Callithrix jacchus: one gene and its partner. The protein of the gene in region 1 interacts with the protein of each later gene in a pairwise test. Links are inferred from orthologs where the notes say so. Each region holds a gene or a part of one and is shown in the gene's direction. Other genes may lie near its edges.

Region 1 (6,976 bases):
AGGTTCCTGAGGGTGCAACATGGGCTGGTAGGTAACGTTAAAATCTGCGTGCCCACTTATCTCTGTTTGCATTCTGATGACTGTAACTATGTGAGGTTCATTTATCTGTAACATATATTTCCCTGATACTACTATACGTATTTGGGCACCTTAGATTTTCTATAAAGTTCAAAACGTTTTAAGATCTAGTACTATTTTGCATTGGCTCATACAGCAAATTAGGGCACCTTAAGATCTCTTTAATATTTAAGATTTGAGCTTAGTTTAGAATAATGCCTTATCAGGTAATGATTTTTTAAAAATCAGTTTAAATGCAGCTGTTGCTTAAACCTCAAACCGTTAAACTCTTAGAATTTTAGAAATAGAGCTTTAATTTAAAGTTCTATAATCAAATTAGAAGCTTATAAAAGATTTTCACTTCAGTGTCTCTGAAATTTTGAGGGTAAATGATTGCCTAAAACAGTGCTCTTGAATTAACATGTTACAGTCCTATGAGAGTGCTCATGTCATTCTTTTATGCAAGAGCTATGGGTAATACCATATTTTCCTTCATAATTTATATGTCCTAAATTTACAATTTAGCAGTCACTATGGGGAGGGGGGTGGTATGTCAGCTGTCAAAGCTCACTCAAAGAAGGCAAATATGGGCAGTCAAGAAAGTGTCACCCAATTTAAATTAGTAGCCAGCATTATTGATACTTCTTGGATTTGGCCCCTCTGCTAAGCACTTTATAGAGATTATCTTGTCTAGTCCCATCAGAACCCTATAAGGTAGATAGGTGTTGTTAGTAAAAATGGCTTATATTTCACTTGGGAGTGTGTTTTCTATACTATTTTGAAAGTACAGATATATTTACATCTAAGACTTGATTTAAAATGAAATATTGGAATCACACATGTGTAACCTGGTTTGGAAAGAGCTGGTTGTATTCGGTTCTTCATACCATCTTCTGGTCATCTATCTGTATGCAGTCTGTCTGTCACCTGGTATCACAGGAAATGCAAGACTTTTCTTGTTTTATGGAACTAGGTAAGGGCAAAATAATAGCAAAAGCTGAGAGCTAAAGCAATGAATTAAACAGCACCCAATATAGCCTGTTAATTTACACACTGGATTATATGGAGCTGTTGCAGCATTGAGAGGCTTCTGAGGATTATCAGGGGTTGTACTAGACTCATTCATAAGCATCTGTATGCCAGGACCTTTTCACTGGGCTAAGGTGGTGAGCTGCTTAGACAAGGACCCTGCTTCCAGAGGCCTTAGGAACATCTAGTCCAAGATACTGAGTTAAGAAAATTGGATTAGAGGGAGGCAGTATGGAGTAGCAGCAAGGCACAGGCTTTGGAAACTGAGAGGTCTGGGTTCAGATCCACACTCTGCCATACACTAATGTTTACCTGGGTCAGGTTTCTAAATGATCTGAACTTCTATTTCAACTATAAATATAGTTTTTAGTCTGTTGTAAGGATTAGAGATGTTATAGAGTACTTGGTACATAACTTGTCTTCTTTGGGATTATACTGAAACTTGACAGTACTTTTGCGGGGTGGAGTCAGGAGTTGCTGCGTTGAACTGTTCTGGGATACCAGTCTCACCAGGTCCCTTGGAGTTATACAGCTCCAGGCTCTGGTGAAATGTGCACTGTAAATTAAAGAATACAAAGCTATGAGTAATTAATACTGAATTGGGTATTTGTTTAGTGATAAATGGCAGTCATTATAATGCCCTGATTATGATTGGTTTAGGTTGGTATTGAAAATAATTTGTTTTTTAAATAAAAATTATCAAATGACCCAAATGCAAGTAGTTCAGAGCATTTAGCAGTCTTAGTTTTATTTCAAATAATTAGAAATATTGTCATAACACTAGATTTTGTGTTCTTAGCAACTGACTAGGTTCTGAGAGCTCTGTGCCCACTTGGTTTTGTGAACCGTGGGATTGTTCCTTGCTTTAGTTCCCTTGGATTCGTTTAGCTGTTCTTTAGAGAACCTTCCAATCCGGCACTGCAGTAATTGTGACTTACCTCCAGCACTGCCTCAGAGTAAAGTTAAGCATGTGTAGTCCTGTCAGGCTTTGCAGAAGCACACAGCACACAAGTGGACCAAAAGGAGAGATTAGGAAAAGTTACCAGTGAGGAACTGAGGCATGATAACAAATAGAGGTTTCCAAAAATATAACCTTCCTTCCTTGATCAGGAATTGATAGGTTTTCAGCTGAAACAAGGAGAGATTTTAGACAGTGCCCGAGTAGTATAGTTGCGTGTGCGTCTATGACAATTTGCTGTTTCTCGGTGTTCGCAGCATCATAGTGGTTCTTTTTAACACCAGTTTCTTTCTTTCCCATAGAAAATCTGCCCTTCTAACTTTATTAATATTTCGTTGATTGTTTGTTTTTAAGGAAATATATGCAGATTTCATTTGAGTGTGTCATTTTATTTTGATCCCTATTAATTCCCTAAATGGGAATTATTCAAGCCACTTTATGCCAATTTTAGGTCTTACAAGTTTAAAGCTTTGCTTCTTTCCTTCCTATTTTAGAAGTGACAGTGTGTTCGTGTTCTTCTGAGGTGTCAGCAAAGTTTGTTCTTCATGCAGTCCAGCTTGTGAAGCAAAGAGCATATCGAAGCCATGAATTCTATAAGTTTTGTTCTCTTCCAGAGAAAGGAACACTGACTGAAGCTTTTCCTGTCCTAGTGAGTTTAATTACAGTTTATAATCCTTAAACAATTTATTTACCTTTTCGGTATGGGCTAAGACTAGGTATTTGTATTTGATTTTATGGTTTGTATTAAGCACACTGGAATTGTGTATTTTTTTAATGCTATAAAAATGAAATAGGAAGATAGAAAATCGAATTAGGGTCCTTGAAACCAAGTTGGAGGTAAATATTCATCACTTTAATTCTTGAGTAGTGTAGTGAAAAAAACATACTTGTCTGGTAGATTCTGGTGCCTTGTAGTTTGGATCCTGATTTAGATTATTCCTTGAAGACTTGTTTGCATGCCACTTAATTTATTTTACTAATGCCAGGTTGTTAGGAAGCTATGAGGCTAATTTGCATTATAGGGAAACTGCTACTGCTTCATGTCTGAGTTATCTCAAATGATGGCAGATCTGCATTCTTGTCTGTGGTGATGGAAATGACTAGCCCTTCTTCCATGGAAGGTGAAAGTACTGACGTTCTTCCTTCAACTCGCTCCTTTGTGTTTTCAGATGGTTGCGGGATTTTCCCAGTATCTCTTTGTTTCTGGTTATTTTAATTTGTGTTCTTCCATGGATCAGTATTACATGATCCCATCTTTTTAAACTTTTAAATTCACTGATTACTAGAAAACTTAATTAAAAACTCAGTGCTAACCGCAGGTTTTTTTCCCCTTATGTTTATTTTTTAGAAGGGAGAAAGATGTAAATGAGTGTAACATCATTTCGTTTTGGTTGCCAAGTAGCTGTGAGCCCAAACTCAACTGTGCCTATTGAATATGCCTTACAAAGTTGTATCTTTCTTGTGTCATTATTCTTGATTATTTTTCTTTTGACCCTAATTTTTTATTCCACTTTGAAATAAGAAAAGCACATTTACTTTTGTCTGCTTTCAGAAACTGTCTAGGACCTTTTATGACATATGCTTTTAAGAAGCATAGGATTATGAGTAAATAACTATGTATATTTAAATATCTGCACCATATCTCTGCAAATGATTTGTCTAACTCTTAGCATAGCAGTTAAAAGGTTTTCAAGTTTTTTTGCTACAAACAGGAAAAGTTTGAAAACAGAATTGCTCTGAAACAGCTAGTATTTATATTCTGTAATTTGAGAAAAAAAAGATATTTTATTTACTTTTATTTGCAGGGTGGAAAAGCGATTGAATTTTGCATTGCTCGTTGGTGGGCAAGTCTCAGTGATGTCAACATTGATTATACCATTTCTTTCCATGGGATAGTGTGTACTGCTCCTCAGTTAAACATTGTAAGTTCCACAACATTTTCTGTGATTTTTAATGTCCGTTACTTGTGTTACTGGAGAATAATTTCATTGGTGAGATGTAAACTTTAATAAGGGAAATTACCTATGGTTCTGAAAATAACAGTCGTCTTTGTGTGTGGGTACTTATAAACTTTATATTGGACACATTTATTTTAGGTACAAAATATTGCTTATTGTTACTAAAGTTTGAGAAAGTAATTTGATAAATACCTTTTGTAGCATGCATCGGAAGGAATCAACCGTTTCGATGTTCAGTCCTCCTTGAAATACGAAGATCTGGCTCCCTGCATAACTTTGAAGAGCTGGGTCCAAACACTACGGTATCATTCAATGTTTTAGGGGCTACAAATATTGAATATAGATGGGGGATCTCTTACCCTCTTATAAAGGAGACTTTTTTAAAAAAAATCAACAAGCATGCTAGTGGTAAGAATTTTATCCTTGCAGATCTCTGCAAGGCAGCCCCAGTATCAGCTTCTAGCTTCACTGTCCCACCTGAGCAGCAAAGTCAGAGATGGTCATGACTAGTTCGGATCAGTGGACGTTAACCTTTTTATTTCTTGCCATAAAATAGCAAGTTAACATTCTTTCTGATTATTTTGTGAATCCTAATGCAATCATTTTTAGAAGCTGCAATATTGACGTTTTTATTGAGTGGTAGAAACTTAAGTACTATAGTCTGCTTTTGTGCCTCAGCACGTCCCCTTAGAAAACCAGGGCACCTTGACCTGTGTTCACACACTCACTGTGTCATAAAGATACCTGCTTTCTATTGTTTAGTCTGACCTTAACTCATCAGCATGAAGCCTAGTCATAAGTGCATTGAAATAACCAATTAGGGACAAGAGTCAGTGACACAGTAATGCCTAAAGATATACTGCCTCCTAGAATTATCAATACAAATTAAAACCTCCAGCTTTTGAAGGTATATCCAACTTATATCGTCTTAATGTCTTCTTCCTAAATCTCAAAAATTGGAGCTAAATTTAAAGGAGTAACTATATTTCACTGACATTGTAAACTATATTTAAAACTTACTCTTCAGTGCCAGTTTTTTCCTTTATAAAACCTGTATGTTAGTAACTTGCTTCAGAGGACTACTAAGAATATGAAATACCATTCCCTTGACCAGGAGGAGGGCTGAGTGTGGCCCTTGCTCCACTGTGGTGAGCAGCAGGGACCTGGGGTGGTCCGTGCTGTGCACAATCCAGCACTGTCAACAGTTTGCACAAGGGGTCCAAATCAGAACCTGTCCTGCAGTGCCTCTAGAGTTGTCACCCTAGGGTTGGGATTTGGTTGTGTTAAGAGCTATTTGTTGACATTTGAAAATGTTTTTGTCATGAAAAGATTGCCTTTGTAATATTTATTGCAATATTTAAACTATGTATTTATATGATACAATCAAATAATTATGTAAGTTAAGGAATAAAATATTGTAGAATATACTGAAAAGGATAGCTCTCAGGAAGGCTCATCTGTCACTTTCTGCAATAGGTTACAAATTTTGTTGCTTATGGTTTTGTCTCATTTGATGAACTCTTGAATCAAATTAGTTATGTAGTTTTCTCATTACAGCCCAGTGAGTGCAAAAACAAAACCTTTAGGATCAAGAGATGTTTTGCCAAATAACCGTCAACTGTATGAGATGGTCCTGACATACAACTTTCATCAAGTAAGTGTTTGCCTAGAAAATTATACCCTTAGGATGAACTTTTGTGTTTTATTTATGATTCATAAAGTCAAAAATGGAAGGATAGTGTATATGGTATATATGTGAAACAGAATCAATTAACATTGGTTAATTTGAAATTACTCTTTAGGAAATTATAATTTGTAATAAAGTACCATTTAGTATTAAAGCCTTAAAATGTAATTGAGTGGTGACCAAACCTTGAGCCTTAGTTTATAAAATCACTGATGTCTAGTGGTGACCCAGGGGTTATTAGATGCCTCAGAAATACCTCTGCCTTCTGATGGTGGTAAGAGAGCAGTGAATTTTATGAGTGCCAAAACACTCTATGTTCTGTATTTTCAAAAATTTTACCACAACTATTTTTAGTATTTTTTTAATGAAAGTCTCATGTCAATAGCAATATTAAAAATTTGTATCAGAAATTATATGCAAATCATGCCAAGTACTTTTTTTTATAGCCCAAGAGTGGGGAAGTAACTCCAAGCTGCCCATTACTTTGTGAACTATTATATGAATCTGAATTTGACAGCCAACTGTGGATTATTTTTGACCAGAACAAAAGACAGATGGGTTCAGGCGACGCCTATCCACATCAGGTATAAAATTGATGGTGATTTTTAGAATTAACAGGAGCTGTTTTCTGAACTAACAAAATCTTGGTTTCTTGTTATGGTAATGTTCATACTTAAAAAAAAAACTCCATAACTTTGCATTTAGTACTTTTGCAAACCATGAGAAGCTGTTGTTTGTTGTAGTTGGTGAAGAATAGGTTGTGTCAACTTTTTCACCACATAGTTGTGCTGAATTAGAGGACAAGCGTGAAGTTTGCAGACACTGGTCAGTATAACTTCTTCTAGTGTGTAGTGTTTCTCCTTCCTGCACACTGAGTCTGCCTATCTGAAGGGAAAATCATCAAAGCATACATCAAAGATAGGTGAGTCTCTTGAAACAATCCTAAGCCTGAGAGGGCTAAAGAGAGCCCTGCAGCAGTGGCCACATGTCTTGAGTTCATTTGTACTTTTAAATTTACTTCCTCACTGGACAACTCTGTAATGAGCCCTTACTACATACACTATACTTTGTGCTGTTTTATTGAAGGGGAAAAATCACATAATTTATAGACATTTCATCCCTTAGATATTACTACAAAGAAATGAGATCTTTGCTGTAAAATTAACGATTTTATGCTGAAAAATGAAAATAATTTATGGAAATTGTTTTCAGTTAATTGTTAAAGGAATGATATCTTTTTTCCTCTAAGCAAGTAGCAGTCACATCTCATTACAGACTGGCTTACTG
Region 2 (7,675 bases), on another chromosome or scaffold:
GCCGGAGACGAATGGATGGGTGGTGGGCTGAGAAGAGGAAACGAGGAAGGGCTATTCCAGGCTCGGCCCTGCCCCTCCAGCTTTGCCTCTGGGTGTAGGGAAACAGGCATGACTGACCAGGGCGAGGGCTGTGCCCAGGTGGGCCACGGCCATGCATCAGGTAGTCCAATAAACACCGTGGACTCCCAGCAAGGCTGCTGCCTGGTGTTTCGAGGCTGCTGTGGTCACAGACACCCCACTGGCCTTGGCTCCCTGTCAACAAGCCAGGGGTGGGAGCAGGAAGGAGGAGCAGCCCCTGCCTTAGAAGCCTCACAGGCTGCACCAAGAGAGCAGCCAGCCTGGGGCTGGGGCTGCCAGGTCTCGAGGGTGGCTGATCCAAACGTCATAGATACTTTTGTTGGGTGGCACCCCCTGGAAGAGGGTGTCTAGATCCCAGAGCAGCCCTGGGGGCCCTTGGGTTTCAGGGGTCACCCCCCAGTAGGCAGGGCTGGTTGACGGTGGACACTGGGGACAGGAGGTGGGTGGTGGTGCTAAGGGCATTACCACATTGGGAGTGTAGATAGGCAAATAGGAGGTAGGCAGCTGCCCCCAGAGGGAGGCCCTATGTCCCCCACTGGACAACCCCCCAGGAACTGAGGTGCCCTGTAGTAAGTGGAGAGGCCAGGGCCTAGGATCTGGGGAGAGGGTACAGGGCCCAATGGATCCCCCCTGGGAAGCCTCCCCCTCCACTCTCGTGGGGCCCGGAAGGGGGCAGAGGGGCCACAGAGGCCTCTCAGAGGAGAGCATGGGTGGGGTAGGCACAGCCCCTTCCCCACTATTCTCCATGCCTGTAGGAACTGGGCTGCTCTGTGGAGCTAGCCCCGGCCAGGGTGCCCCCTCCTGGGAGCCCCCTAGCAGGGACTTGATGTTGAAGCCCTCGCTGGGTGGCGGCAGGGGACTGGGAGGCCGATAGGGCCGGCCATGCAGCACGTAGGGGCCCAGGTCCTTGGGGAAGGCTCCTCTCGCACCCCCGTTCTGCCAGCGCCGGCACAGGGCCGTGTTCTGCAGCCGTAGCGCCTCGGCTGGGATCAGGCTCACATCGACCGCCCAGAAGTTGCCCTTGGCCTGGGGCTTTGCAGGGTCCTTGGGCACCTGGGTGTGGGGATCAGACATGGGTGGGGCTGCCCGACCCTGGATGCTCAGGACTTCCTCGTGCGCCCCGCCCCCGCCCTGCCCCACCTTTCGGAAGCATCGGTTGGAGGAAAGGTTGTGGCGGATGGAGTCCTTCCAGCCCTCGTAGTCTTCCCTGAAGAAAGGGAACACCGCCTGGACCTGACGGATGATCTGAAGCCGCCGGGTGGCCGGCCAGCACGGTGAGCCCGGATGGGGAAGGGGCAGTGTCCCATCCCTCCCCTCCTACTGGGCTCAGAGGTGGCCAGCACGGTGAGCCCGGATGGGGAAGGGGCAGTGTCCCACCCCTCCCCCCTTACTGGGCTCAGAGGTGCAAGGGTGTTGGCCCCCGTTCTCCCCAAAGAACATTTTACACCAAAGGACGACAGAGGGGACGGGGGCTCCCGGAGAAGGGTCATGCCTCAGGGCCCTCGGTTCTCAGGACTGGTCCTATTGGCTGGGTGGGCTAGGAAGGGGTGGGGGTCAGGGCTTGAGCCTGGAAGTAGGTCGGGAATGGGTCTGGGGAAAAGTCCAGCCTCGGAGTGCAAGGGAGAGTAGGGGCCAGGGCCATCTCACCTGGGCCAGCTTCAGCCTGCGGGAGGGTGCCGCCTGAATCACCAAGGCAATCATGGCCAAGTAGGTGTAAGGGGGCTTGTCATGTCGCAGGTACCTCTTCTTCCTCCTCTTGGGGGGCTGGGAGGGCGACTCTGCCTCTGGGGGCCGCAGGCGGGAGCCGCTGCGGGGCCCCATGCAGGACCGTAGACAGTGTGGGCAGGGGCCTGGCCTGGTGGATGGCTCAGGGCAGTGGGGCAGTGTGGGAGGCAGGGCCAGGGCCTGAGGCCGGGTGGGGGCTGGCTGGCTGGGCCCTTTATCATTCGGATGGAAAGGGGAGGGGAGGGAAGGGAGGAAGAGGCTGTGGGGGAGGGGAGCCTGCCGAGGGCTGCCACAATTAGCAGGTTTTGGTTAATCTGGAAGGGAGGGGCAGAGAGGATTCTAGTGGGTGCTTCTCCTGAGGCCTTAGTCTCCACCCCTGAGCTGCCTTTGGGTGGCCAGGCTCCTCTTCGAAGGGTCTGTCATGATACATGACTATTTTATCCCGCCTTCCCTGGCCGGGTCACAGGACCCCACTGAACAGATGGGGGAGTAATTAGCCCATGCTAAGCTCCCAAGGAAGAGTGTCCCCAGAGTTCAAGACCTAGCAGCTAGTAGGCTATGAGGGCTAGATACCTACCCAGGACATGATCGGGTGGGGCTTTCGGGAGGAGAAGGCCACGAAGTTCCCACCCCAGGAACAAAAGGGAAACTTGGACTCAAGTGATTTCCTGGGAGCTGCTTCAGGAGTCCAGGCGGACCCGCCACCTCCTCCTCCCTAGCCATCTGATCAGCGTCTCTGCCCCTCCGTCCGAGCAAGGCTGGTGTTAGGTACTCTGCCCCAAATCCCAGGTTCTCTTCCCTCACAAGGGGCAAGTTTGCCCAAGAGGACAGTAGCTCTGGGCACTAGCAGCAGGGGTTGGTGCTGGCAGCAGAGCTAAGGGCCCCTGGACACATGGGGGCCCAGGAATACGCTTTTGCTCTCTCTGAGAATTCAGCTTTTCTTGTTCAGCCCTCACCATGATCACCTCAAAAGGCTGAAAATCTGAAGTATATGGTGGAGCCCAGCCCATCCCAAGGTGTGGAGGGGAGGGACTGGCAGCGGGTGTCCTGGAGGAGGAGCCTGGGCTGGACCGAGCCTTTTCTGTGGGGTGCCACCCTTTTCCCTCTATCTCCGCCACACCCCTCGGACCTCTTGTTGTTTCCCTCAGGACTCCGGTTATCACCTCGACGCTGAGGCCTTCTCTGGTGTGTTCCCTAGGCTAAGGTTGCAAAGTCCTGAATCTCGGGAGGCGAAATACTCGTGGCCTCTTACCCCATTCGGTCAGCAAGGCGTCGTTCTTTCCCACAAGTCTTTGTTGTTGTTTTGAGACAAGGTCTCGCTCCATTGCCCAGGCTGGAGTGCAGTAGTGTCATCTGGGCTCAGTGCAGCCTCCACCTCCTGGGCTCAAGCGATCCTCCCGCCTAAGCCTCCCGGGACTACAGGTGTGCGCCATAGCGCCCGGCTAATTTCTCACTTTTTGGTAGGGACAAGGCCTCCCTGTGTTGCCCAGGTTGGTCTCCTGGGCTCAAGCGACCCACCGGCCTCAGCCTCCTCCCAAAGTGCTGGGATCACAGACGTGAGCCACCTCGCTGGGCCTTTCCCTTAAGTCTTAAGGAACCCCTCTCCACTGGCGCCTCCTTGGTGGGGCGCTGGAGGCTCCCCAAGTTCCGACCGCTCCTCTCCGACCTCAGTGTCCCGGGCTGAAACACCCCCAAAACTGCCACTCATTCCGCCGGCGTCCATCCGGTTGCCAACGATGACTCGTTTTTTTTCCACCACAGTCCCAGGAGCCTTTGAGCGCTCGCCGTCTCACCCAAGGCCCGAGGAGGTCGCAGCCGCAGAAGGATCGCCTGGCCGCCCGCAGCGGACCCCGGCAGCCGCATCCCCTGATCGTCCCTCCTCAGGCACCGCCCCTGATGTCCCTCCCCAGACCCCGCCCCCGATGTCCCTCCCCCCCAGTCCCCGCCCCCGGCTCCCACGGGGCACTGCGGCTTCCGGCTACAGGTAATGCGGGCCGGAAGTGTAGCGTTGCCATGGCGAGGGCCGGGCGCGGGGCCCGCCCCCGCAGCACCTTTGGGAGCGCGGGGCCCACTGACCCGCGGAAGCCAGCGGACCCACTTGCGCGGCGGCCGGTGCGGGGCGCGAGGTGAGGCGCGGAGTCCCGGGTCCTGTGACGAGAGCGGAGCGAGGGAGAGGGTCCCCGGCTGGGCACAGCGGAAGAATGGGCACTGGGTCGACATCGAGAGAGGGGGCCGGGCCGGGGAAGGATGAGGCTCAGGGGAGGGAGGGAGGAGGAAGCCCAGGGGAGAGAGGAGGCTGCGGAGGGAGGAGGCCAGGGAGGGGCCCTCGGGAGACGCGGCTGCCGTCACGCGGGCGCCCAGGGCACAGGTCCCACCTGGCCGCCTTGGGCGTTGCTGGCTGAGTCCCACGGCAGCAGGTGCCAAGGGACAGGAAAGGCTGGGAGCTGGAGGCTGCTTCGCATTTTGTTCCAAGGTAAAGGTGTGTGGATTCTCCGCAGCCTGCCGGTCAAGTAGACAACTCCGGAATTATCTACATTTTCAGATCAGGAAATCAAGGCCACAGAGAAGGGACTTACCCAAGCTTTGTGGGGGCTTTGGAGCTAGGCTGAAGGAGAAAGTGGAGTCTCTCTGAAGGAAGTTCCTTCAGCTTTCGGGGATTAAAGTGACCTCACTTGCAGTGCTGGGCACCCGGGCCACCCCTCAGGAAATGGGATCAGGGCAAGAATTAACTAAGCAAGCACCCCGCCTGGGAAGGAGTGTCCAGGACTGGTGTGGGCCCCTGTCTGTATCAGAGCGGAGGCCCCGGGCACGACGGGATTAATTTCCATGGGTGCAGAGACGGGTGTGTACAGAGTCACTCTAGGCTTAGGGGAGCCAGAGCAAAGCTGGCCCTCCCCAAAGCTCTGTGCCTTCCTTTTCATCCTGTATCCCTACTTGGGGGTGGAAGTGGAGGCGGGGGTACCGCTGCCTTTTTCAAAGCGTGTCTAGCTCAGCAGTGAGCCCTCCTGGGCGTCTTGGTGCCCCAGTTGCTTCCTGGTCATATTGGGCTTTCCCTGGGAAAAGGGTCTTGCCTGCAGTACCCTGGGCCTCCTGAAGAGGCCTTTGGCAGCGCTGCCTGATTCACCTCGGGGATCCAGAGCCACGACTGTCCCAGAGGAGCTCAGGCGGCGTGGGGCTGGGTTGCCTGAGGAGCTGGGGGCTGCCTAGTAGACCTGCACACCGGCTGACTCCATGCGTGTCCCTGTGGTGGACCTTCAGAGCTCTGCAGGGCTAGCTGCCTGCCCCTGCCCCAAGTCTCCCAGCCTTGAGATGGGATGGTGGAGGCCTTAGGGGTCCTTTCCCCTCCTGGTGTTTGAGCTGGATTTCCTCCCTGTTGGTTGGGACCATCCCTCCTGTCTCTTGATTGCCCTGTCCTGGCCTTATCCCTCACCTGCTTGGGATGTATCTGCACTCCATTTTGCCCCGAGGGTTGCCTGGGTTAGCAAGTACCTAGCAAGGGGGCTCCTCCTGTATGTCTTCACTTTGGGGGTCTATGTCCTGGGGGTTCTTGAACCTCTGGTCTAAATAAGCAGCCAATTGATACAACTCTCCACTGCCTGTAGCTTAGGAACCTCAGTCTCAGCTGATCCCACAGATTACACCAGACCCCCAGCTCCACCCTTGTTCTGCCCCCAGTGTGTCCTGCCCTAGCACTGTGCCACATCTATTCGTTCGCAAAAATGAAAACTGGGTGGCAGTTCCAGGTTCTTCTCTCTCTCATGCCGAGGCTCTGCTGGCACTGGTGCACGCACACCTAAGTGAGGCCTTTTCATCAGACTTGCTCAGCTATGAGCTCAGAGCCTCCCATGTCACATCTGGTGCTGGGACCCCTGGACCACAGGCTCAGCAGCTGTTCACCTGTTCAGCCCATTGCAGTTACTGAGTGTGAGTGCTTCCTGTGAGTCAGGTTCTGAGGATGCAGCAGGTAAACAAACAGTAAGTGACGTGTCAAGAATTAAAACAGGGCAATGAGGTAAGAGAATAACAAGGTAACCACAGAAGAACTCTGAGGAGGTCACACTTCAGATGTTATCTAAGTCCCAAGAAGGAACACGCTATCCTAAGATCTGGTGGAAGAACTTTCCAGACAGAAGGAGCAGCTGATGAAGGTGGGGGTGATGATGAAGCTGGTAGCACCAAATAAATGTGTTAGATCAGGGGTTGGCCAGCTTCTTCTGTCAAGGGCTAGGTAGTAAACATCTTAGGCTTTGCTAACCATGTGCTTTCTGACTTTTTGTTTGTTTGAGATTGAGGCTCATTCTGTTGCCCGGACTGGAGTGTAGTGCGCGATCTCCGCTCACTGTAACCTCTGTCTCCTGGGTTCAAATGATTCTCCTGCCTCGGCCTCCCCAGTAACTGGGATTATAGGTGCATGCCACCATGCCAGCTAATTTTTTATCTGTTTTCTATTTTTTGAGACAGAGTCTCGCTCTGTCACCAGGCTGGAGTGCAGTGTCACAATCTCAGGCCATTTCAACCTCTGTCTCCCAGGTTCAAGCGATTCTTCTGCCTTAGCCTCCCTAGTAGCTGGGACGACAGGCGTGTGTCACCACGCCCAGCTAATTTTTGTACTTTTAGTAGAGATGGGGTTTCACCATGTTGGCCAGGGCGGTCTTGAACTCCTGGCCTTGTGATCCACCCTCCTCGGCCTCCCAAAGTGCTGGGATTACAGGTGTGAGCCACCTCACCCGACCTCCTTTTTCTTTTTGATATGGAGTCTCCCTCTGTCACCCAGGCTGGAATGCAGTGGTGTGATCTCCACTCACTGCAACCTCCAATTCCTGGGTTCAAGCGATTCTCCTACCTTAGCCTCCCGAGTAGCTTGGACTACAGGCATCACCACAATTGGCTAATTTTTTTCTATTTTTAGTAGAGCCGGGGTTTCTCCATGTTGTCCAGCCTGGTCTCGAACTCCCAACCTCAGGTGATCTGCCCAACTCGGCCTCCCAAAGTGCTGGCATTACAGGCATGAGCCACACATCCAGTCTTTTTTTTTTTTTTTTTTTGAGATGGAGTCTTCCTTTGTCTCCCAGGCTGGACTCCAGTGGCGCGATCTTGGCTCACTGCAACCTCCAGCTCCCAGGTTGAAGCAATTTTTCTGCCTCAGCCCCTTGAGTAGCCGGGACTACAGGCATGTGCCACCACGCCCAGCTAATTTTTGTATTTTTAGTAGAGACAGGGTTTTGCCATATTGGCCAGGGCGGTCTTGAACTCCTGGCCTTGTGATCCACCCTCCTCGGCCTCCCAAAGTGCTGGGATTACAGGCGTGAGCCACTATGCTTGGCGTTTTTGTTTGTTTGTTTTTTAAGATGGAGTCTTGCCTGGCACGGTGGCTCACGCCTGTAATCCCAGCACTTTGGGAGGCCAAGGCGGGCGGATCACGAGGTCAAGAGATTGAGACCAACCTGGCCAACATGGTGAAACCCCATCTCTACTAAAAATACAAAAAAATTAGCTGGGCATGGTGGCATGTGCCTGTAGTCCCAGCTACTCAGGAGGCCGAGGCAGGAGAATTGCTTGAACCCGGGAGGCAGAGGTTGCAGTGAGCCGAGGTTATGCCACTCCACTCCAGCCTGGCGCTTGGTGACGGAGTGAGACTCTGTCTCAAAAAAAAAAAAAAAAAAAATACGGAGTCTCTCTTTTGCCCAAGGTGGAGTGCAGTAGTGGGATCTCGGCTCACTACAACCTCCACCTCCTGGGTTCAATTGATTCTCCTGCCTCAGCCTCCCGAGTAGCTGCGACTACAGGCATGTGCCACCATGCCTGGCTAATTTTTGTATTTTTAGTAGAGAAAGGGTTTCACCATATTGGCCAGGCCAGTCTGGAACTCCTG

What was found.
Region 2: the proteins of TPP2 (region 1) and PPP1R16A interact in binary tests that used the Homo sapiens proteins (3 or more experiments, as listed by UniProt). The two-hybrid records come from large-scale screens. The link is inferred for Callithrix jacchus from reciprocal best matches to the Homo sapiens genes TPP2 and PPP1R16A.

The regions. Positions count from the first base shown.
Region 1 is NC_133502.1:18,331,728-18,338,703, forward strand, and holds part of TPP2 (tripeptidyl-peptidase 2), read left to right. Parts: coding exon 1-27; intron 28-2,538; coding exon 2,539-2,693; intron 2,694-3,849; coding exon 3,850-3,966; intron 3,967-4,203; coding exon 4,204-4,304; intron 4,305-5,559; coding exon 5,560-5,656; intron 5,657-6,135; coding exon 6,136-6,273; intron 6,274-6,976. UniProt on the Homo sapiens protein: Cytosolic tripeptidyl-peptidase that releases N-terminal tripeptides from polypeptides and is a component of the proteolytic cascade acting downstream of the 26S proteasome in the ubiquitin-proteasome pathway.
Region 2 is NC_133517.1:53,154,480-53,162,154, reverse strand, and holds the start of PPP1R16A (protein phosphatase 1 regulatory subunit 16A), read left to right. Parts: upstream 1-3,767; 5' UTR 3,768-3,929; intron 3,930-7,675. Other genes in the region: FOXH1 (forkhead box protein H1), read right to left, coding at 310-1,131, 1,219-1,323, 1,726-1,899. UniProt on the Homo sapiens protein: Inhibits protein phosphatase 1 activity toward phosphorylase, myosin light chain and myosin substrates.